Arabidopsis thaliana: one gene and its partners. The protein of the gene in region 1 interacts with the protein of each later gene in a pairwise test. Each region holds a gene or a part of one and is shown in the gene's direction. Other genes may lie near its edges.

Region 1 (7,749 bases):
AACCATTCTTATTCTCTTGCCTTTTCTATTATTATTTTTGATTAATTAATATTAAAAACTCACCATTGAAGATGCTCTAAAACATAGTCAACTTGGTTTTAAAAAAAGAAACTAAAAAAAAAGATAAATGTTTATCTGTTGTTGCTTGTTGTTTGATACAACATGTCTCCTCTGATATGAGTTACTTTTAATATGCAGGAACAAGAGGATTGGTAGAACGTTATATGAAACAAGAGGTATGAATATTATATTTTCACTTTTCTCACTCACTACTTTTCTCGTATTTCATTTATTGTTTTTTTTGTATGACTAGAAAGTCGGAATTCCAAATTAATAACATGGTTTTTTCAAATGATTTGACTATACCGTAAAGCAACTCAAGTTTCAACCATTTGTTCGAACTTGTTCTCAAAACTAGTTTCACCCCGAAAAATAATGGTTTGTAAAGATATGGGCAGAGAAAGAAAATTGAACTTGGAAAGAAATTGGATTAGACATCACTTAAAAATAGTAAATTTGTGCTAAAAGAAATTTACTGAAAACATTGCTTAACTTTCTTATTTACATAACATCCTAGCATTCTTCAACTAATGATAACTATCACTTTATAGAGAAAGAAAATAGACAACATTATCACAACATTGACATAACCTCATAGGGTCACGGCTTCACTGCTTTCACGGCTTCAAATGGATTTTAAAGCCTTTGTAGTATTTTTTTTGCCAATCAGACTTTTTTCACTTTATTTTTTTTGGAAGTTTTTAAAGCTTTTTTTTTTCTTTTTCCTTTATTTTTCTTTTTGAAAGTCACGTAAATGAGGCTTTTAAAACAAATTAAAAGCTTTTCGTTTTCTTCTCTAAACATAATTAAAAGTTCTCTACAAATTACATATTTCTTTTTTCAAAACGTTTTTGATTAATAATTATTATCAAGTTACTAATTTTTTTTTAAGATCCATTTCACTAATAATAATTTTATTTTTTATCATCAACACTAATAAAGTTAGATGTCATTTCATTATCATTAATAAATTTGTTGATTTTATGATAAGTCAAAAAAATCATTCAAAACAGTTTTGAGAAAAAAATTTAGCCATAAGAATCATTCAAGATGAGTATTTTAATTATTAATGTGTTTGGATATTAAGTGTTTGGATATTAAGTGCATGAAACAATAAATATAAATAATGCAATGTTTGGTCTTTTAAAAATGAATGAATAATATATATTTTTAAAAATCAGTAATAAAGTTTTATTGTTACTAATAAAAAATAACAGTCACAGCTTCTACAACTTTGTTTTACCAATCTGATTTTAACAGCCAAAGTCTTTACAGCTAAATTCTTTGTACCTCAAATTTTTAAAGTCAAACCTTCTAAAGCCAAAAATAACGGTCGTTACCAATCTGTTAAAAAAATTTACCTTCTGAATTAGCATAAACTGATTTCGGTATACCATGTTTCAATTTCTTCTGACTGAAAATAGAAGAGATGATATTGTTATTACACATTTCACGCTGAAGAGATACTAAAAACAGTTAGAAAGGCAAAAAGAGTTATGTTCGATCGACTAATTTTAAATTATGCAAGATTGGGCCCAATACAGGCTAGAATTTCGGTCCATAATTTTCCAAGACATCAAGAAACTGGTTCACAAGATTTGTTGGCCCATTTTTAATTATCTACTATCTTTAGCCTCTATTATCCTTGACTGAGGTATGAAGTTGCAACATAACGATTTCGAAACTTCTTAAAACTTTTCTCATAACGCAAGCTAGAAAAGGTTTTTTAAAAAGTCCCCCATGTTTTTAGTTTCATGCATTACATCACATATTCACATGTATGTGGAGAGATAGATAACCAAATTGTTAGATAACTGCATGTTATTTAAAATTTTATGTGTTCTTTTAGAAAAAGAGCACCATTTTATATTTTTTGCAAATTAATCAAAAACTTTACAACTTCTTAGCTATTTTCATAAATTTGCATGGTCATTCAATGGTATTTACTAATAATAATTAAATATGTCTGAACGAACATATTTTTTTTTGACAGTTACTACAGCTATTTCATATTTTATCCTTTTTATACAAAAATCACTTCACTTTCTAATTTACCTTGCAGAAAATTTACTACAGTACATACTAATAATTTTAACAAATTTTCTTAAATAAAACATCACTACACTTACACTGATTCTTGTTTTTCTAATCTCATTAGTAATTACTCCTCATTAGTCTGAATACGGTTATATATTTTTGAGCACAAATACTTTTGCCCAATAAAATAAAATAAAATGGTAAGATATTTCCCAACGCATATTTTATACAAGTGTGTGACCCACAACAAGACACACTACAGTGTAAATCCAACGGCTGAGATTTCTCAAATTACCATCAAAGCTTTTAGGGTTTGGTGAAACCTTCCATATATAAACACTGAAACCTCCAAGTTGTCTTTCCTCTTTGCAGTTTTTTTTCATTTGAGCTTCTCTCTGATAAGGTCACTTCCTCTGACCCTTTTATCTAAGCTCAACGCTGCAACTCTCGCCGTCGGTTACTTCCCCATTTTCCTTCCTTCTTCCGATTCAAAGACTCAATTTTTATTCTCCGGCGTTGAGGATTCATCTCCTAAAAATCTCTGCTTTATCTTTTGATTTGAGCTGATTTGGAGAGGAGAAGAAGATAGATAGATAGGTAATTCGGATTGATATCTCGAAAAATGGCTCAGATTCAGCATCAGGGTCAAAATGCCAATGGTGGTGTAGCTGTTCCCGGTGCTGCTGCGGCTGAAGCTGCGGCGGCTGCGGCTGGAGCTGCGGCGGCGGCTGCCGGAGCTGCGCAGCAAGGGACGACGTCTTTATATGTCGGTGATCTGGATGCGACCGTGACGGATTCACAGCTGTTTGAGGCGTTTACCCAAGCGGGTCAGGTGGTTTCTGTCCGTGTCTGCAGAGACATGACGACTCGGAGATCTCTAGGCTATGGCTACGTTAACTATGCAACTCCTCAAGATGGTAACTTTCTTAAGGCTTATCTGATTTGGTAACTTAGTCGTTGTAGCTCATCTGAATTTGGGGTATGGACTGATGTGTTATATCAAATGCTAATCTAAATTTGGGAGCTTTCTATAAAAAAGGTGAAAGCTTTCAGGTTAATTTGGAAAGTGGTTACATTTGGTAACATTGTGGGCTTTCAGGGTATTTGGCTGTTAGGGAGGATAGTTTTCTTTTGAGGTCATAGAGTTAGAGTTATGACCTCAATGTTATGAGTAGACTCAATGTTATTCTTCTTACAGAAATGAATGATTTGAGTTATGTTGATGTTAATATTTCTGATTGGTGACAGCTTCCAGGGCACTGAATGAGCTGAATTTCATGGCTCTTAATGGAAGGGCTATAAGAGTTATGTATTCTGTTCGTGATCCAAGTCTCCGTAAGAGCGGAGTTGGTAATATATTTATTAAGGTACATATATTAAATCTCTTTTTCCTATTGTCCAAGTTTGAACTTCTATGCAGAGATGGAAAGAAACCTTGGCTTGTTTAATATCCTATCTCAAAGTTTGTTTGTTTATTGACATGGTTTATTATCTGTGTCTCAGAATCTTGACAAATCAATTGATCACAAAGCACTTCACGAGACATTTTCAGCCTTTGGTCCCATTCTATCTTGCAAAGTGGCCGTTGATCCCTCTGGTCAGTCGAAAGGCTATGGGTTTGTGCAGTACGACACTGATGAAGCAGCTCAGGGAGCCATTGATAAACTGAATGGAATGCTTCTTAACGATAAGCAAGTTTATGTTGGACCCTTTGTTCACAAGCTGCAGAGAGATCCTTCGGGTGAGAAAGTTAAGTTCACTAATGTTTATGTCAAAAATCTCTCCGAGTCCTTGAGTGATGAAGAGCTTAACAAAGTTTTTGGAGAGTTCGGAGTGACTACTAGTTGTGTTATCATGAGAGATGGTGAAGGAAAGTCTAAAGGCTTTGGATTTGTCAATTTTGAGAATTCTGATGATGCAGCCAGAGCTGTTGACGCTCTAAATGGAAAGACCTTTGACGACAAGGAGTGGTTTGTTGGGAAGGCCCAAAAGAAGTCCGAGAGGGAAACTGAACTCAAACAAAAGTTTGAGCAAAGTTTGAAGGAGGCTGCAGACAAGTCTCAGGGGTCGAACTTATATGTTAAGAACTTGGATGAGAGCGTCACAGATGATAAGCTCAGAGAACATTTTGCTCCCTTTGGAACTATTACATCATGCAAGGTCCGTGACTGATACAATAAAAAGCGCTGCTTGTTACTATCTTCAGCAGATTTGCATTAAAATGTATTACATTTGAACGTGACAGGTGATGCGTGACCCCAGTGGAGTGAGTAGAGGATCTGGATTTGTCGCATTTTCAACTCCTGAGGAAGCAACTAGAGCTGTAAGTGACTAGAATATAAAGAAGACATGTCAAATTTTGGTGATCTCCTATTCTCTGGAAGGATCTTGATGCTTAACACTGTCTTCTTTTCAATGTTTCAGATTACAGAGATGAATGGAAAAATGATCGTTACCAAACCTCTATATGTTGCTCTTGCGCAGCGGAAAGAAGACCGCAAAGCTAGGTTACAGGTCTGGTTAATTTACCCATGTTGTTATCCTTGAAAAGGATTATCCTAATCCCATGCTTATCGTGCTTAATTTGACCTCTCTGGCATTTTAGGCTCAATTTTCACAGATGAGGCCGGTCAATATGCCACCTGCGGTTGGTCCTAGGATGCAAATGTATCCACCAGGTGGTCCACCAATGGGTCAGCAACTCTTCTATGGTCAAGGGCCTCCTGCTATGATTCCTCAGGTAAAGCTCAAAGCTTTAAGCATAAAACATTTGAGACCAATCTTTATAACTTTCTTCTCCAACTGGGTATCGAACAGCCTGGATTCGGATATCAACAACAGCTTGTACCGGGTATGAGACCTGGTGGGTCTCCAATGCCAAACTTCTTCATGCCTATGATGCAACAAGGCCAGCAACAGCAACAGCAGCAACAGCAGCAGCAGCGACCTGGTGGTGGTAGAAGAGGAGCTCTTCCACAACCACAACAACCTTCTCCTATGATGCAGCAGCAGGTTAAGTTTTGCTTTAGGCCCAAGACTTTCTCCACATGTTTAAAATCGATAGCATGCTTACATTTTGCATCAATCTGTTTCTCTACAGATGCATCCAAGAGGTCGAATGTATCGGTATCCTCAGCGAGATGTAAACACAATGCCTGGTCCTACTCAAAACATGCTTTCTGTTCCATATGACGTCTCAAGTGGTGGTGGTGTGCATCATCGTGACTCGCCTACTTCTCAACCTGTTCCTATTGTAGCTTTGGCTACACGGCTTGCGAATGCAGCTCCAGAGCAACAGAGAACGGTAAAGTCAAATGATTTGTTTCTAACAGCTCGGAAACAACTAAGAAAAATGTGTCTTTCTTAAACCTGTTATGTTTCTTCGTTATACAGATGCTTGGTGAGAATCTATACCCGCTTGTGGAGCAGCTGGAGCCAGAATCCGCAGCTAAAGTCACGGGAATGCTTCTTGAAATGGACCAAACCGAAGTACTTCACTTGCTGGAATCACCAGAGGCACTTAAAGCTAAAGTTACAGAAGCAATGGATGTTCTGAGGAGTGTAGCACAGCAGCAAGCGGGTGGTGCAGCTGATCAGTTAGCTTCTCTGTCTCTTGGAGACAACATCGTACCTTGAGAGTTCTAAGTTATATCTGAAAGAGCTCAGTTTATATACACTGTAAAAGTGTTTATTTTGTTCTTTTGGAGAATCAGAAACAGAGTTGTTCTTGAAAGTTTTGGATTTTTGAGTTTTTGTTTTGGGCGAGAGTTTTAACATTTTCCTTCTGTGTTTTTGATTTTCTTAATACTTTGGGAAGTTTTGTATCGTTACTCTCACCTTTTTTTACCTACACTGCTCATTTGATAGGGTATTGTTTGGCTTTTGTCTAGAGTTTCGACTTTTGGGTATAAAATTTGGTTTAAAAGCTTCGAATGATCAATGTAACAATAAGTTTACAGGGCTTTTCTAGGAAATTATTCTTGCTTCCGAAAACAGACTGGGAGAAATCAAACGGGCCTTGGAATAACCTTATCGACTTAGTTACTGAATTGGCCTTGGCCTGACCATAACAACCTATATCTCATCACGAAACTTGGCCTTTGCTTGGTAAAGTTTAAGCTCTTGGTTTTGATGAGATAAGGTCTCTAGCCGAAAGTGTTACATAATTCATAAGACCCATGCATGTAGTAATATTTGCATTCACATACTTGACAATTGACATACTCGAGTTTTGTTCCATATTCTTCATCGTGTTCTTTGATGGCTGTTTCTATGAGAATTTGAGCAGCTCTTCATTGCTCTGTTTATCATCTATAGATGGTTTCCAGTCAAAGTTAACAACAGATAACACGTAGTTAAAACTATCCTAGTTCACATCAAAACCCTCGCTATCTTCAAATTGTTTGTAAAAAAGCTTTCGTTGTCTCCTACATTCAAGAAGACCAAACCTGGTGGCAGAGGATCAATCTCCTTTGCATCTTGGGAATCGTTGGAAACAGCCGTATAGTCGAAACTATTAACATCTCCTTTCCTCTATTGATTTGAATTGAGTTAGAATTGCAATTGTCTAACATACACTAGAAATTCGATAAATTAATAAACTCTTTAAACTAATTAATTTTGCCAGTCCTAAATTGGACCAATATAAAAATTAACTAAAATCATAAAATATATATATATATATATATTTTTAAATCTCTATGTAAAAATATGGTCTCAATAATATCATAAATCTTAAGCATACATTCTAAAATAATCTAATATAAAATAAGTCTAATGTTGTTTGTCTTTTCTAAAAGTTCGAATCTCGTTGAAGTTCATCTCTAATTTTCTTATTACATCAAAAACTCTTGGTGTTGTCTTCTCGATCTACATCCAAAAATTGTGAAAAATTGTAGATGCGATAATTGCTTCCTTACGTGTCACTATTTCCAAAAATTCTACATTATCGTCTTCAACTTCTTTACCAACATTACAAACAAAAGCTATAATTTCTTTTAAACTATAAACTTCTAAACATGCTTTATTTTCACCCGAATAATCGAGTAGGATATTGATATCAATTCTATTTCGATAACCAAAATTGTTAATCATAACTTCAAATTCTTGAATGTGATTCTCAAAATCTAAAGAAAAATAATTTTTTTTTTAACATAATGAAATATGCAAACAACAAAGTATAAAAAAATTGAAGTAAAAAAAAAATTAAGAAATAATATAATATTATATTTTGCGTAAATATTTCTATAAATTAACAGATGAATTATTCCAACGTTATTAATTTATGGAGTTTTTACTGTATATGATATCATCTTATTACTTATACGGGCCTAAATGCTTTTCATGTTATCCATTTTAGCAGAAGAGCAGTTGAAGTCATGTATGGCAAAACAAAACCTTTGTATATATGAACTGATCGTCCCAATTAATATCATTATCATTTTGACATTCTGCTACCAGTATTTAGAAACGAGCAAATTTTTTTTTTCTTTTTTTTTTTCAAAGAAACAAGTAACGTTTAGAACAAAATTTTTTTCCCAAACTAATTATATGATGCATATAGTTTTGTTCAAATATTTTAATGTTTTTGTACTATAGATTTATTTTTGGTAAATGGTAACATCAGTTGATAAATAAAAAGATAAATATTAT
Region 2 (8,607 bases), about 12 Mb from region 1:
CTAAATGGAAGCAACTTGGAGAATTAGCTATGTCAAGTGGGAAGGTGACCATTTTTTAGCTGCAATCAGTGTTCTAGGATTCTTACAAAGGTTAAAGCTAACATGTATTTTTCTTTTCATTTTCCTTCCCATGCTTGGACTACTTAGCTGGATATGGCTGAGGAATGCATGAGGCATGCTATGGATTTGAGTGGTCTGCTGCTGCTTTATTCTTCATTGGGAGATGCAGATGGAATGATGAAGCTGGCAGCACTTGCAAAAGAGCAAGGAAAGAACAATGTCGCTTTTCTTTGCTTGTTCATGTTGGGTCAAGTAGAAGACTGCCTGCATCTGTTGGTGGAAAGGTACATTGTTTACTATTTCTTACATGTGGAACATATATTCCCGCAACTAATTACGTCTATGCTGATATTAATATGGTTACAGTAATCGAATACCTGAAGCCGCTCTGATGGCGAGATCGTACCTTCCAAGCAAGGTCTCCGAAATAGTGGCATTGTGGAGAAACGATTTGACCAAGGTTAGTGGTAGACACATCCGATGCACCTTGTGATTGAATTTCAAACCTTGCCTGTTGAGATATCCACAATTTTTCTTCATCCTCTGTCAATCTGGATATAGATAAGTCCAAAGGCTGCTGAATCTCTGGCTGATCCCGAAGAGTATCCCAATCTCTTTGAGGAGTGGCAAGTCGCCCTGTCCCTTGAAAATAGAGCTGCAGAGACGAGGTATCTTTTCGTCGTTGCCGTCATTAGCTTATTCTTAAAAACAGTGCTTATGAGGAAACCTTTTTAATTGAATTGTGGGACTTAAGCCATTTAGAGTCATGTGTCTGTATTACATAGCAAGGTAGCCGTCATGTATTTGCTTATAATTTGAATTTATACCCGTATAAACATAAGCCGAATGTCGATTTCATTTTTTCAGGATCCTCATAAACAAAGTATTTTTGTTGACTTATCTTGCAGGGGCGTCCATCCTCCTGCTGGGGATTATTGTAGTCATGCAGACAGAGATCATACAACTTTAGTGGATGCTTTTAGAATTATGCAAATAGAGGAAGAGGGTCGACTTGAGCAAGGGGATGTTCTCGACGAGGTATGCATGTTTACATTACATGCATTGAAGAGGATTGTCTTTTACCCATGATATCCAATCCAATGGTCTTGGCCATGGTGGACAATGGTAGGATCATTAATTCTACTGTCGCTGCTTCATTTGTTGTGAACAGGTTGGGGAAGAGGGGGAAGATGGAGAGGAAGAGGAGGAGGAGGATCGTCAGGAAGAGAGTAGTGATGGGAGACAGCAGAATGTGGAAGAAGAGGCTGTTGTGGTGGACGCTGACTCTACGGATGGTGCTGTGCTAGTTAATGGTAACGAGTCTGAAGAACAGTGGGGTAAGATTAGTGAAGGAACCGCATCAGCCTTATAGCATTTGTGGTTATCAATTGATTATAAGATGTCGCTGCACCAAAATATCCTTTTGCCATCTGCACATATATCATAGGATTTGCGTTTGCATCTGTCCATCAATGTTTCCTCATCTGTCTGCCTCCCATCTTCGTCTTACTGATCATCTTACTTTTGATGTTGACTGTCTTTTAAATAGTGCTTCTCTATGCCATTAACTTTTTTATCAATCCGTGGACTGATTAAATATTTGTTTGTTGTACAGTTCTAACACCGCCACAAGAGTAGGGTTGGTGAAGAGTGAAGACATACACAGATAGATATTTTCTTGGCTTTGAAACTTGATACATTCAGCAGAGAAATGAGGCAGCACAGAGAGAGATTAGTTTCCATTGTTAAAAAACTGATCTATTGATAGCTTCCGCTTTGTGCTTTTAATACAGATACATATTAAAAAAAAAGGGGGTTTTGGGACTCTTATGTAGCTTTAACTTATGAGAGATTTCACCTGTAGAATATCTGTTTTGAACTGAGATTTCACCCATATAATATGTTTTGACTTTCGATTCAATAGGTTATGTAGTTGATATCTTTTTTTTTTTTGCAAAACTCAATAGCAGTAGCAAAAAACTTAATTGGAAATAATCAAAGTGAAGGGATAAGTTGGGAAAGAGCCAGAGGATAACGCATGGTGCATTATTATTAGTATTGTGGAGGAGACGCATCTCGAAACATCTCTCAAAGCAAACAAGGACCCAAAACAAAGTTCCTTGCATTCTTCCACTGTCCGTAATCACCATCACCATATCATTATTCTTCTACCCATTTTGTCTTGGAAATGATTTTAAATTTTCTTGTTGCTTCTTACTGCAAACTGTGTATAGGTTCAACTACTCCATTGAGTTACACACTTGCATGCACCTATGGAAGTTAATTTTCCGGTTTTGATTGATATTCAAGTTGTTGACCAATGGAGTTATATACCCTTGATTTATATAGAAACCACATGTTTTATTTATATTAACATGGTCACTTTTGTCAGGATTAATAGACAACAATAGTTGAGAGAAAAAGTGATAAGGTAGAGCTAATTTGTATTAAACTTATCAATTAGTATTGTTGGTTAAAAAAAAGTTAATAAAGTAGTCAAGTTGGATAATTCCCAAAAACTGGGAAAAAAGAACTCAAGCGTCAAATGTTGTAGGTGCATCATCATCAGTCTACAAGTAGTAAAAAACCCATTCGATTTGATAAGAAGACCCAACGGAAAGAGTCTTCCCGTCTACAAAGTAAACCCAATCAATCTTAATAATCTTTAAGAGGTTTTTTCTTATTATAATTATCTATCTCTCTATCTATCTATCTGCGGATCTCTCATGAAGAAACACTGAGGAGATTCTCTCGCTCTGATCTCCTGGTATCGTCGTCTCTCTCCGTAGAGATATACTAGTTTGTCCCATATCCGATTGATTGCTCTATTCAATTTATTCCTCTTCTAGGTTTTCGGTTTGGCCCTCCGATTTAGAGGGATTGATGGCCCCTGATGGCGTTGAAGACTCCGACTATGAGAGTGATCCCGACGAGTTGAACCGCTCCTTGGCTACACGGAGGAGAGAAGCCAGCGATGATGATGAGGATGATGAAGAAGCGGACGACCATGATAAGCTGCGAGCAGCAATCCAGATTCATTCCGATGAACACAGTGGTGTTGTTGTTGTCGACTCTGATGATAATGAAGGATTGCACATAGAAGATAGTTATGGTGATGATGACGACGAAGAGGAAGATGGTGATTATGGACAAGTTGATGACCATGTCGAATACATTGCGGATAATAATGACAAGACAATTGTCGCCGGCAATGGGACCGATGACTCTGCCGCCACTGATCTTGTGGATGGAGAGGAACAAAAGAAGAAGGAACCTTTTGCAGTGCCTACTGCTGGAGCTTTCTATATGCATGATGACAGATTTCAGGAATTGGATGCCGCCTCTAATAGGTAAACTCTTTTTGATTCTATGAGGAGGTAGTGTTTTGTCCAAACTATGCAAATGTATCTATCTACTATTGAGGTAGAGTACATTGATAGGTGAAATTAGCAAACGACTTTCCGTCATTCAATCTCATGATGTACTTCAGAGTTCAGATAGATTGGAACAACTGCTTTGGTTTTATGTTTTAACTTTGATTGTGAATCTTTATGTATGAATCTACCCGAGATGCCATCACACTGCTATTTTTCCATTTAACATTCTGTTTAGTTACATGGTAATGCCAACCGATATAGGTTTTCGTTTTTTATTTCTGTAGGCGAATGCGTGGTGGTAGGAGGCTCTGGCAATCCAGAGATGAAAGAAAGTGGGGACATGACAAATTCGAGGAAATGAATACACAGAAACAGCAATATGATGTACTTTTCTCTGATCATCTCTCTTTCTCTTTCTCTCCTTTTCATAAATATATTTGTATTCATCGACTTGTTTCCTCTTGCTGTGTTTATACATTTGCCACCTCTTTTTTCTTTTTCCTTTTTTTTTTCCTTTTGAAAGCTGATTAATTAAACTTGTGAACATAGAGGAGGACTTCGAGAGGCCGAGGCAGAGGTCGTGGTCAGGGTAGGGGTCAGGACCGTGGACAGTCTCGGGGGAACAATTCTAAAGAATTTACTGGCAATGGACACCAAAATCAGTTTCCGAAGGCTGTCACGAGAGGGAGGGGGGCCAGAAGATATGAGGTTGCATTGAGAAATGGGAATCAAGCACCTTCTGTGCAAACCAAACAGTGAGTCCTTAATTTTGTTTCCTCTCTAGTCAACACATGAAGGCTCTAGGTCTCTAATTGTTGTGTCTTTTTACGGAATCTTTAGGTCCCAAAATTCGTCTGTGGAAGTGTCACACGTTGATTTAGGGCGTCCACCAACAGAAACAGCTACCTTAGAGACTGAAGCCATCCAAGCCAAAAAGAATGTATTTGCTTCAAGTTTAAATTCAGCTTCTCCTCCATTTTATCCTTCAAGATCCAACAATAACTTGGCACAAAAGGATGTACAAGCTGGCATGGGTAGGCTGCACATTAATGAAAACCCTAATCCGACTGGAAAGAAGTTTGGGAATACAAAATCCAGCTCCTTGTGGGGACGCACTGCTCAGACTACAAGTCATGGTAGAGGTGTACCTCCTCATGGGCAAGTGCTTTACCAGCAATCTCCTAATCAAGGTGACAAAGTTTCTTCGCCGATGCAAATCCGTGGAATGCCTAAAGGCACTGACCAGAGCTGTACTCAACTTCCTGGTCAGGTTTTTAATCAACATTCGGCTGTTATCAGTTTGCTGCCTTCTTCTCCTCCAAAAACCGGATCATCAGAAAATCCGTATCTTTCTGGTGAAATAGAGTCAGCCGTAGAAACAGGTGCTTTGGTTGCCAAGGGAAAAGGGTCTCTCCAACCTAGTGGAAGGGGATCTTTTATGTATGGAGGGACACAGTTTATGGGCCCTGCCGGGATGGCAGCTGGTCACGGCAATCCAAATTTCCCTGCTTTTCTACCTGGTAAGTTGTTCTTGAATGTCATTGTTCATCCTACATTGTAATGGTTGAAAGACATCTTTCAGAATCAATCTATGCATGCTAGTGAAATTGAGAGCTATTGATGCTGAGCCGCTTGGCCTGGTTGCCCATGTCTAGGGCCGCTTGAGAACGGCACCTTTTTGTACAGGTGCTAATATGCACGCCTGACTAGTTTAAACTTGTTTGTTTTCATTTTCATGTTCAGTTATGCAATTCGGTGGTCAGCATGGTGGGGTTCCAACTTTTGGAATGGCTCTTCCAGGTTATTTCCAACCAGAACATGGTACCGGAAATCCTGAGATGACATGGTATGCAGTTCCACAGCTATGTTTTAAAAGTTATATATTTGGTGCATTCTTAGTTGACTTGCTGCATGCTTTTGTAATTTGAGAGGATGTTTAATCTTGTAACTAGTCTTTTACTAGCCCAAACAGAACCTGAATTATTGCTTTCACTCGTCTGCTGTTTGTTTTTTGTTTGATTTCCCTATTTCTCTATCTATAGTAGGTCCTTATTACTGCTATTATTTTCTTAAATTATTGACAGGCTGCCAATTTTGGCTGGCCCTGGAGCATTAGGGGGTTCATATTGTCCACCTTATACTGTCCTTGATGGTTCTTACCAAGCAGACAAACCAGGGTTACCTTCCTCTGCCGGATCGTCCAGGTTTAGAAATAATTTTCTCAGTATTGTTAATCAACATGTCATTTCCATATGCATATGTGTAGACTCTTTGCTTTTTACCTTAGAGGAAGAGTAGTATGGGAATGCAGCTTTAAGCCCTTAACTAAGTAACGTATGTGAGATTTTAGATTTGTGGTTCCTCTTATTCTAGACCCACTGCAAAATGCTTGTTACCTGTTAGATTTACATTTCTTAAGTGCTTAGATTAGTAGTTTCTCGACTATGTACACCCAGAAACATGTAGTTTTCATTAAACAGACTCACTTTCTTGGTTGGGCACTCATGTAACCATGTCAATCATCTCTGATTATGAGCGTCTAGTAAAGCATATAATTTGAGCTCAAGTACCCAATTACCTTATATTTTTGATTTTTTGTTGCAGCCAAGAGAACAGTTCCAATAATCCTAATGATGAAGAGCCCATGGAGAGACCTGGTAAGTAATAACTCTTGCCAATTAAATGGGGTTGTTATAATGGATTCAGAAGATTTTGTTGTGTTTTGGCGAATAAGAAATTTGAATGATTACATGGAGAGACTGATTCGTATGGGGGTTTATTGATGTAGAGGTTACGAACAATGGGAATTCTCAACGGTCAAATAGCAACCCAAACAAGCAGCCTCGTAGGTGAGTTTTGAAGCAATCTAGTTTATTTATCGGTCAGTGTTAGTGTGACGTGAAACCACCTTGAAATCAAAGTACCACAGGAGTAGTTGGATACAGATATTTGTGGAAATGAAATGTTAATATTGGTCCAGGATGAAATGAAACACTAACGAGCACATGTTGACGAGGGATGTGCAGATACTCGGAGATGAGCTTTAGCAAGTGAGTAAAGAAGAGTGGAAAGGAAGAAGGTCATCTAATTTGACTAAGTGGAGTGAAAGGAGGAGGGTGAGAGAGAAGAGCTCCTTAGGAGCAGCAGGCCCTTGGTGCTTCTCCAACTGCTTTATGAAGCCGTTTGGGCTGCTATTATTGTTACCTATTTTTATTAGGTACGCAATTTCTCTCAAGATACCAATTGAAGAGAGGTTTTAACCACATTATAATTTGAACTTGTGTTTGCTGTTTTGTTTTCAGGAGGTTGTTGTGCAATTGAAAAGAATTTTTGTTTTGTTTTCGTTGTTATGAGAGCTTGAGCTTGAGCCGTGGGCGTCCTTCATCTGTAATTTATTCTTTTGTCCGTTTGGGTTCAAATTGATATTTTGTAATGTTGATATGTGTTATTCTGTTTTCGTTTGTCAACTTCTTTATCAAAAGTTGTGTGCCCTATTCGTACGCCTGCGAAGTCCCCCCAAGAATTGCCCATGTTGAGTTTTGATGGTAGTTAGTTGTCTATGTTTTATATTTTACGCAAGGGGATAGTGGTGGTGCTCAGTCAAATTTACCCGATTCGTGAGAAATGAGTCATTGAGGAATTGTTACCATATATATAAAGACATGCCTCCGCTCTGGTTATTTAGTTATGCGACAAAAACAAAACAGACCGCATAGAATAGATGCAACAAACCAAGTGTATAGAAACTTTATTCCTTGGCGCAGCAAAAAAAAAAAAAGGGATAGAGTCTCCGTTGATTCAGGTAGCTCAGCGTCCTCTGAGATGAAACGATTGTTGTTGTTTGTTTGTTGATTTTAGTTTTTAGTTTAGTGGAAGATGATCGGTAATAGCGTCTACATCTCACCGTCACCGTCACCGTCCGACCACTCTCTCTCGCCCAACCCTAATCTCTGCATCTCGGCGGTTGGTTTCTACTGTCTTCCTTTCTCTCTCTCTATTTACTACAAATTTTGATTTCAATTTGGGTTTCCGATTTCGATTTCAATTTTGAATTTGATGGTCTTCAGATGGAAGAGCAGCTGGTTGTTGATGATGATGATGATGACCTTGCTCCTCCTCCAATCCCTGATCTCGATATTGACCTTGAAGATGATGATGACGCCTGTTGTCACGGCTTGCTTCATATCGCACCTAATCACGAAGAAGAAACTGGATGCGACGAAAACGCTTTTGCTAATGAAAAGTGTTTGATGGCTCCTCCTCCTACTCCTGGAATGGAGTTCGAGTCCTACGATGATGCTTACAGTTTCTACAACTCATACGCCCGTGAGCTCGGTTTTGCTATCCGCGTCAAGTCCTCCTGGACTAAGCGTAACAGCAAGGAGAAACGTGGTGCTGTCTTGTGTTGCAACTGCCAAGGTTTCAAGCTGCTTAAAGATGCTCACTCCCGGAGAAAGGAGACCCGCACCGGCTGCCAGGCCATGATTCGCCTTCGACTCATCCACTTTGATCGATGGAAAGTTGATCAAGTCAAACTCGACCACAACCACTCCTTTGATCCTCAACGTGCCCACAATTCCAAGTCTCACAAGAAATCCTCCTCCTCAGCTTCTCCTGCAACTAAGACAAATCCCGAACCACCTCCCCATGTCCAAGTCCGGACTATCAAATTGTATCGAACCCTTGCCCTTGACACACCACCCGCTCTTGGAACTTCACTCTCTAGCGGGGAGACCAGCGATCTCAGCCTTGATCACTTCCAATCTTCAAGGCGCTTGGAGCTCAGAGGGGGTTTCAGGGCCTTGCAGGATTTCTTCTTCCAAATTCAGCTTTCCAGCCCCAACTTTCTTTACCTCATGGACCTTGCCGACGACGGGAGTCTCAGGAATGTCTTTTGGATTGACGCTCGAGCTAGGGCTGCATACTCTCACTTTGGCGACGTTCTTCTGTTCGACACCACTTGTTTATCTAACGCATACGAGCTTCCCCTTGTGGCCTTTGTTGGAATTAACCACCATGGAGATACAATCTTGCTCGGCTGTGGTTTGCTTGCTGATCAGAGCTTTGAGACCTATGTCTGGCTCTTCAGAGCGTGGCTAACCTGCATGTTAGGCCGTCCCCCACAGATCTTTATCACGGAACAGTGCAAGGCAATGCGGACCGCTGTCTC
Region 3 (4,991 bases), on another chromosome or scaffold:
ACAATAATAGCTATAATAATTGTTGTATCATATTACAATATATGTTTTCATAAAGAATTGTGTTATTTTCAACAATCAATAATTATAAATAAAATAATATAAAATCTTAAATTTCATAGAAGAAAACACGATTACATGGTTCAAACGTCAAAAACAAACCCCAAAACCATAATTTTATGTACATCAATCTCTACCAAGCCTTGAATCTCATGCTGAAAGCCCTTTGGATCTTTTTCATCAACATGAATCACACAGAGACGATAGGCCTATAATCTTGCTCACGATGCCGCTCAACTCCTTTACGATAGATCTAGGCCTAAAAATATGCTTCAATTGTACTTTAAGCGTTTAACTTTCTCACGATCTCTCTACAGCACCTTGACAATGAAGACAAGAGCTATAGAAAATGGAACCATTGTGACCTTAGCCTGAAGATTCTACACTACGTCACTACCGTTGGCATTTTTTTTTTTTTTTTTTCGATGCCTTCTCCGATCATCTTAATCAGGGGAGAGACCGAGAGACCGAGAGAACCGAGAACTGGCGACTTGGACTTCTTCACTGGTTACACGAATGTAGACATATACGATTTGGTTCGGTTTAACGTCGGCTCCAATTTCGTTCAACGAAATAAAAAAAAAGAACCTCCTTTTCGGGTTTTTGTTTTGTTTGCTATATTTCCATTTTTTTTGGGATTTACTCTTTGCTTTTAATGTACTGTAGTATAACACGATTACATTAAAGAACATATTGAGATCTATCTTTATAGATCTAAGTTGGAAAACAAAGAATTCACAAACACTAGATTACAAAACACTTGTTTTTTAGTTTTTTCCTAATCAAATTAAAAGTTAAAACCACTGCTTTTGGTTATAGGCTTTCAATAATCTTTCTCTTGCACCCGTATGCAGTGGCAAATTCGGAAAAGACAAAAGAAAAAAAAAATCTAAGAATAACATATTGAAAGAGGCACATAGGATTTCAATGATAGCATGGGAAAGCAAATACACGTGCAAGAGCCATGTTAATTAAGTAGGAACTAGTAGATAGGGGTTGGCGGAGGCCAGTAAGGGAAACTAACGTTCTTTAGTGGCCTTACACTAGTGTAAAAGGTAGAGCAAGTTTCGGTGGTGAGATCATAAACACCAAAGTTATTGCCAACAAAATAGATGCAGTTAGGCTCGAGTCCACACGACGTACTAGCCGGGATGCAGAAAGCCTCACTATGTCCAAGAAAAATGCAAAGATCTCCAATGTGTTCTGTGTAGATCATAGTCTTCTTCTTTTCGTCAGAAGCCTCATTTGCTCTAAACACCATGAACTTTTTTGTTACGTGCATGGGTGTATTGTCGCAAAGGTCCTCCACGTCCTCCACGAACCTGCAAAGACATGATAGAACCAATACGATTCTCAAGCCAAAAAACCACCAACGAAATGAAGATATATTGTAAATATGTTATGAGAGATGTCTAGTTAATTAGATACTATACCACTTGACGAGGAAAAGTTGGCCGGTGGGTGACTCCACAAGGTGATCTGTCTTGGAACATGAACTCACTCCCGCCAACTGCTTAAACACCGACTCTGGAAGATTTTCATAATCCAAGTCGATGAAGCTGGGTTGCCCATTCTCCTGCCTAGAGTTGAAATGATCATCACCCTCCTTAGAGTTGAGATCCAAGTAGCACAAGTAGTTGCCTCCGTAACTTGGAATGTAGAACCTTTGATCTCTCTTGGAGAACATGAGGCTAGATAAAGGGTTTATACACTGAGACATGAATTTCATGTTGATCCATTTAGAGCTGCCAAAAGGCCTGCAAAGACTAACCCGAGATCCCGATAATTTGACACCCACTACCCAATCTTTATCTTGAACAGGTATAGAGGACATGGCTAGGTTATGGATTTTGGTACCGGTGGGTACAGAAGGTAAATGAATGGTCAAGTTTTCTAGTTTGGGATTGGAGGTCTCATAAGTGATCACAGGTTGATGGTCGCTGCTTCTGTACGAAAGATAGAATTTTAATCCATCACGTAAAAATCCGACAGTCATCGCCTCAATGACCTCCTTCTCGAGTTTCTTGTCCTTAATAGTGACTTTTGTTGCCTTTCCCTTTGAAGAATCGTCGTCGTATACTATTACGCGACCATCCGAAGAAGAATTTTGGATGTTAGTGATGTATTCAATCAATAAAAACGGGTAGGCTGGTTCAGACGACAAGAGTTGAGTCACTTTAGTCTCGTCATCCGAATCCCACCCGCTTGTGTGAGAAGTTGTAGATGAGAACATACGAACAACATTTTTGTGTCTCTGCCATATATATGTTCAAGTAGTCAGAGACGATATCAATAACAAGAAGAAGTTAAAGAAAAATGAATTTATTACTTAGAAGCTTAAGAGGAAGTTTTTGCAGACAGAGGGTTTAAAGACTCGGCTGATTATAAGCTGTGCCATTGTTGAACTTCTTTAAGTGTTTTCGTCTCTTGTATAATCTGTGTCATTATTGTACTTAATACTAATAAGAATATCCTTGCTCAGCAAGTACAAGACATAAATGAGAATATTTAGAAATTCCATAAATAGCTCGTTAAAATCTTATTATAATTTTTGTTTTTTTCTGTGGAATTTGTTGTTCAATATTTGTTCCCAAAAATTGTTTTATTCATAAAATCTAAAATCATTTCCTAAAATCAATGCATACAAATTACTCTATATTCTACCCTTTTTTTTTTAATTTTTCGATATGTTTTTAATTGAAACAGAAAACTTTTCATGCAACCACGTTCGATTTTTTTTTTTTTTCTTTAGCTTAATGGGCTTATGGGCTTCTACGTTCTAGAAATTTCCTACTACACAAAATATCTTTCGTTTTATCCAAATTCCAAAACAGTAATAAGATTATAAGAACAATAAATATCTTATCCAGTAACTAACGAACGTATATCCCAATTATTGTGAACATCACCACCGTCAGATCACGCCCTTATCATTCATGACCGTCAGATCCTCATATTTTACATCACACGTGGCCGTGACTCTTTACCGGATAACCGGATTGTCTCTTCTTTAAAACCGTGCCCAAGCGACTCGTGAGTGAGACTCGCTCTAAGACCCAGTTTGACTCGTTGATCAACGAAAGGTAACGACAAAACTCTGATTTCCGATTTCATTACTATGAATCGATTCGAATTTCTGAGTTTCTGACTTTGTTTCAGTGTGAGTTTGAGGTGAAAGATGACGGCGACGATAGATCGGAGGTTATCAACGCTGAATCCAAACGCGCCGGTGTTTGATCCGGTGGAATTTCGTGAGGTGGAGGATTTTTCACCGAAATGGTGGGATCTAGTAACGACTTCGAAATGGTTCCGTGACTTTTGGCTCAGTGCTAACTCTGAGAATGAGTTCCTCGGCGGCGACGATTTCTCAGTTATGGAAGAAGAGTTCGAGGAGATGATCGCATCGTCTGATGGTGGATCCATGGCTGATACAGTTACAGGTAACGATTTGTTTACTGTTTTGAAATTAGTTGAGATTTAGGGATTCGAAACATTCAGATCTGAGGATTTTTGTGTGTTTTAATGGCAGAAGCAGATGTGGCTAGTTATTTGAAGATGCTTTTGAACATAGCGGAGTCTACGAAAGAGAAGATTTATAGATCGAAGGTTTCGTCTTGTTCACCAAAGTATAATCAGAAGAAGTACATGAATCCGAACTTTAATTGTCGCCGGAATCATCATATCTATCAGCCACGGTGAAGCTTCTAGAAGGAACAAAGCTCTTCTTCTTCTTCTTTCGAGATGATAATCAGAGTCGTGTCTGTGTTTATGGCTGAATCTGATCTTTTCTGCTTTCTTGTTTTTTGTAATTCTGTGAATATTCCTACTTTCTATAATAACATCACTTTATGTTATGAGCATAACCAAATTGAAATCGAACCAGGTCGAATCGAAATGTTTGGGTCGGTTTAAAATGGGATTGTATCATTTGTCTTTGGAAACCAAATCTAACAACAATATTGAAACCGGTATTAAACACAAACCAAACCGAAAATGGGTATTAAACACAAACCAACCCGAATATGGTTAGAGTTGAGCTAAAACTTTACCATGCGCATATGAAGATAATGATGTCATAAAAGTTGGAATCCAATTTATTTTGGATAACCTTTAATTTGGTTGATCAAACAATAATTTTTTTTATATTAATTACTATGTTATGTAAATCATTCAAAGGAGCACTTGATTATAATTTTGAAACAACTCCTTTGTTTTGTCCTCATTCAAAGAAAAAAGGGATTAACAATTGGTGATATTAGCGTTTTACGAAAAGAAAAAAAAACATGTTAAGAGCAAATGTTGTCGTCTCTTTGGTTATATTTGCAGCTCTCATGCAATGTGTGGCAGTGTGGGTATGTTTTCTTTTACTCTTTAGTACTAATACTATATTGTTATATTGTTTTCTGAAATTTTGTAAATTTAACAATCATTTTTTTGGGGGTTAAAAGTAGGATCCGAAAAGATGAATGGAAAAGAAAACATTACGCCATGGATATACAGTATGAAGCAGCCGGTGTCGTGTAATAGAGAACATTCGGAAATTGGAATATGTCTTTCAGGTATTGATGATGATATTCAAAACGATGGAAAATGCTGGAAATTTTGCTTGATGGTTGCGAAAAGCGGAGGTTATAATGCAGACAAATAATCATCCCAGAAATTATACAAGTCTAAAATATAACGCATGAGACAAAAGGATTATTTTGTTGTCTAAATAACAGTGCAAATTTCATGTTTCTTCCCTTCTTTTCTGTATCAAATTTTTGAAAAATCTATAACAAGAATGGATCGCATTTTTACCACCTAAACAAAAAAAAATCGAAAATTTCATAAAAATATAATAATCAAAATATACCACCTAAACGTTTGTATGTTTAAGTCTCTCTTTTTTTTTTTTTTTTTGGGAACTGATGGTTAAATGGTAGGTCTATACC

Evidence for each region.
Region 2: the proteins of PAB8 (region 1) and AT1G80000 interact in a two-hybrid assay, tested with the Arabidopsis thaliana proteins (one large-scale study listed by BioGRID).
Region 3: the proteins of PAB8 (region 1) and AT4G14270 interact in a two-hybrid assay, tested with the Arabidopsis thaliana proteins (one large-scale study listed by BioGRID).

Annotation. Positions count from the first base shown.
Region 1 is NC_003070.9:18,414,021-18,421,769, forward strand, and holds PAB8 (poly(A) binding protein 8), read left to right. Parts: upstream 1-2,454; 5' UTR 2,455-2,719; coding exon 2,720-3,014; intron 3,015-3,345; coding exon 3,346-3,464; intron 3,465-3,600; coding exon 3,601-4,257; intron 4,258-4,342; coding exon 4,343-4,420; intron 4,421-4,521; coding exon 4,522-4,611; intron 4,612-4,702; coding exon 4,703-4,837; intron 4,838-4,914; coding exon 4,915-5,109; intron 5,110-5,197; coding exon 5,198-5,401; intron 5,402-5,490; coding exon 5,491-5,733; 3' UTR 5,734-6,091; downstream 6,092-7,749. UniProt on the Arabidopsis thaliana protein: Binds the poly(A) tail of mRNA. Appears to be an important mediator of the multiple roles of the poly(A) tail in mRNA biogenesis, stability and translation.
Region 2 is NC_003070.9:30,090,252-30,098,858, forward strand, and holds AT1G80000 (CASC3/Barentsz eIF4AIII binding protein), read left to right. Parts: upstream 1-2,555; 5' UTR 2,556-2,943; coding exon 2,944-3,410; intron 3,411-3,721; coding exon 3,722-3,821; intron 3,822-3,986; coding exon 3,987-4,192; intron 4,193-4,277; coding exon 4,278-4,957; intron 4,958-5,180; coding exon 5,181-5,283; intron 5,284-5,521; coding exon 5,522-5,641; intron 5,642-6,041; coding exon 6,042-6,094; intron 6,095-6,225; coding exon 6,226-6,286; intron 6,287-6,417; coding exon of another isoform or gene 6,418-6,427; exon of another isoform or gene 6,428-6,463; coding exon 6,464-6,491; 3' UTR 6,492-6,654; intron 6,655-6,739; 3' UTR 6,740-7,072; downstream 7,073-8,607. Other genes in the region: AT1G79990 (coatomer subunit beta-2), read left to right, coding at 1-44, 148-344, 427-520, 622-728, 969-1,098, 1,232-1,397, 1,676-1,698; FRS8 (FAR1-related sequence 8), read left to right, coding at 7,314-7,400, 7,505-8,607. UniProt on the Arabidopsis thaliana protein: Core component of the splicing-dependent multiprotein exon junction complex (EJC) deposited at splice junctions on mRNAs.
Region 3 is NC_003075.7:8,215,282-8,220,272, forward strand, and holds AT4G14270 (polyadenylate-binding protein interacting protein), read left to right. Parts: upstream 1-2,801; 5' UTR 2,802-3,140; exon of another isoform or gene 3,141-3,216; 5' UTR 3,217-3,235; coding exon 3,236-3,497; intron 3,498-3,586; coding exon 3,587-3,756; 3' UTR 3,757-4,026; downstream 4,027-4,991. Other genes in the region: AT4G14260 (hypothetical protein (DUF295)), read right to left, coding at 1,040-1,379, 1,491-2,290; AT4G14272 (Defensin-like (DEFL) family protein), read left to right, coding at 4,341-4,397, 4,520-4,705.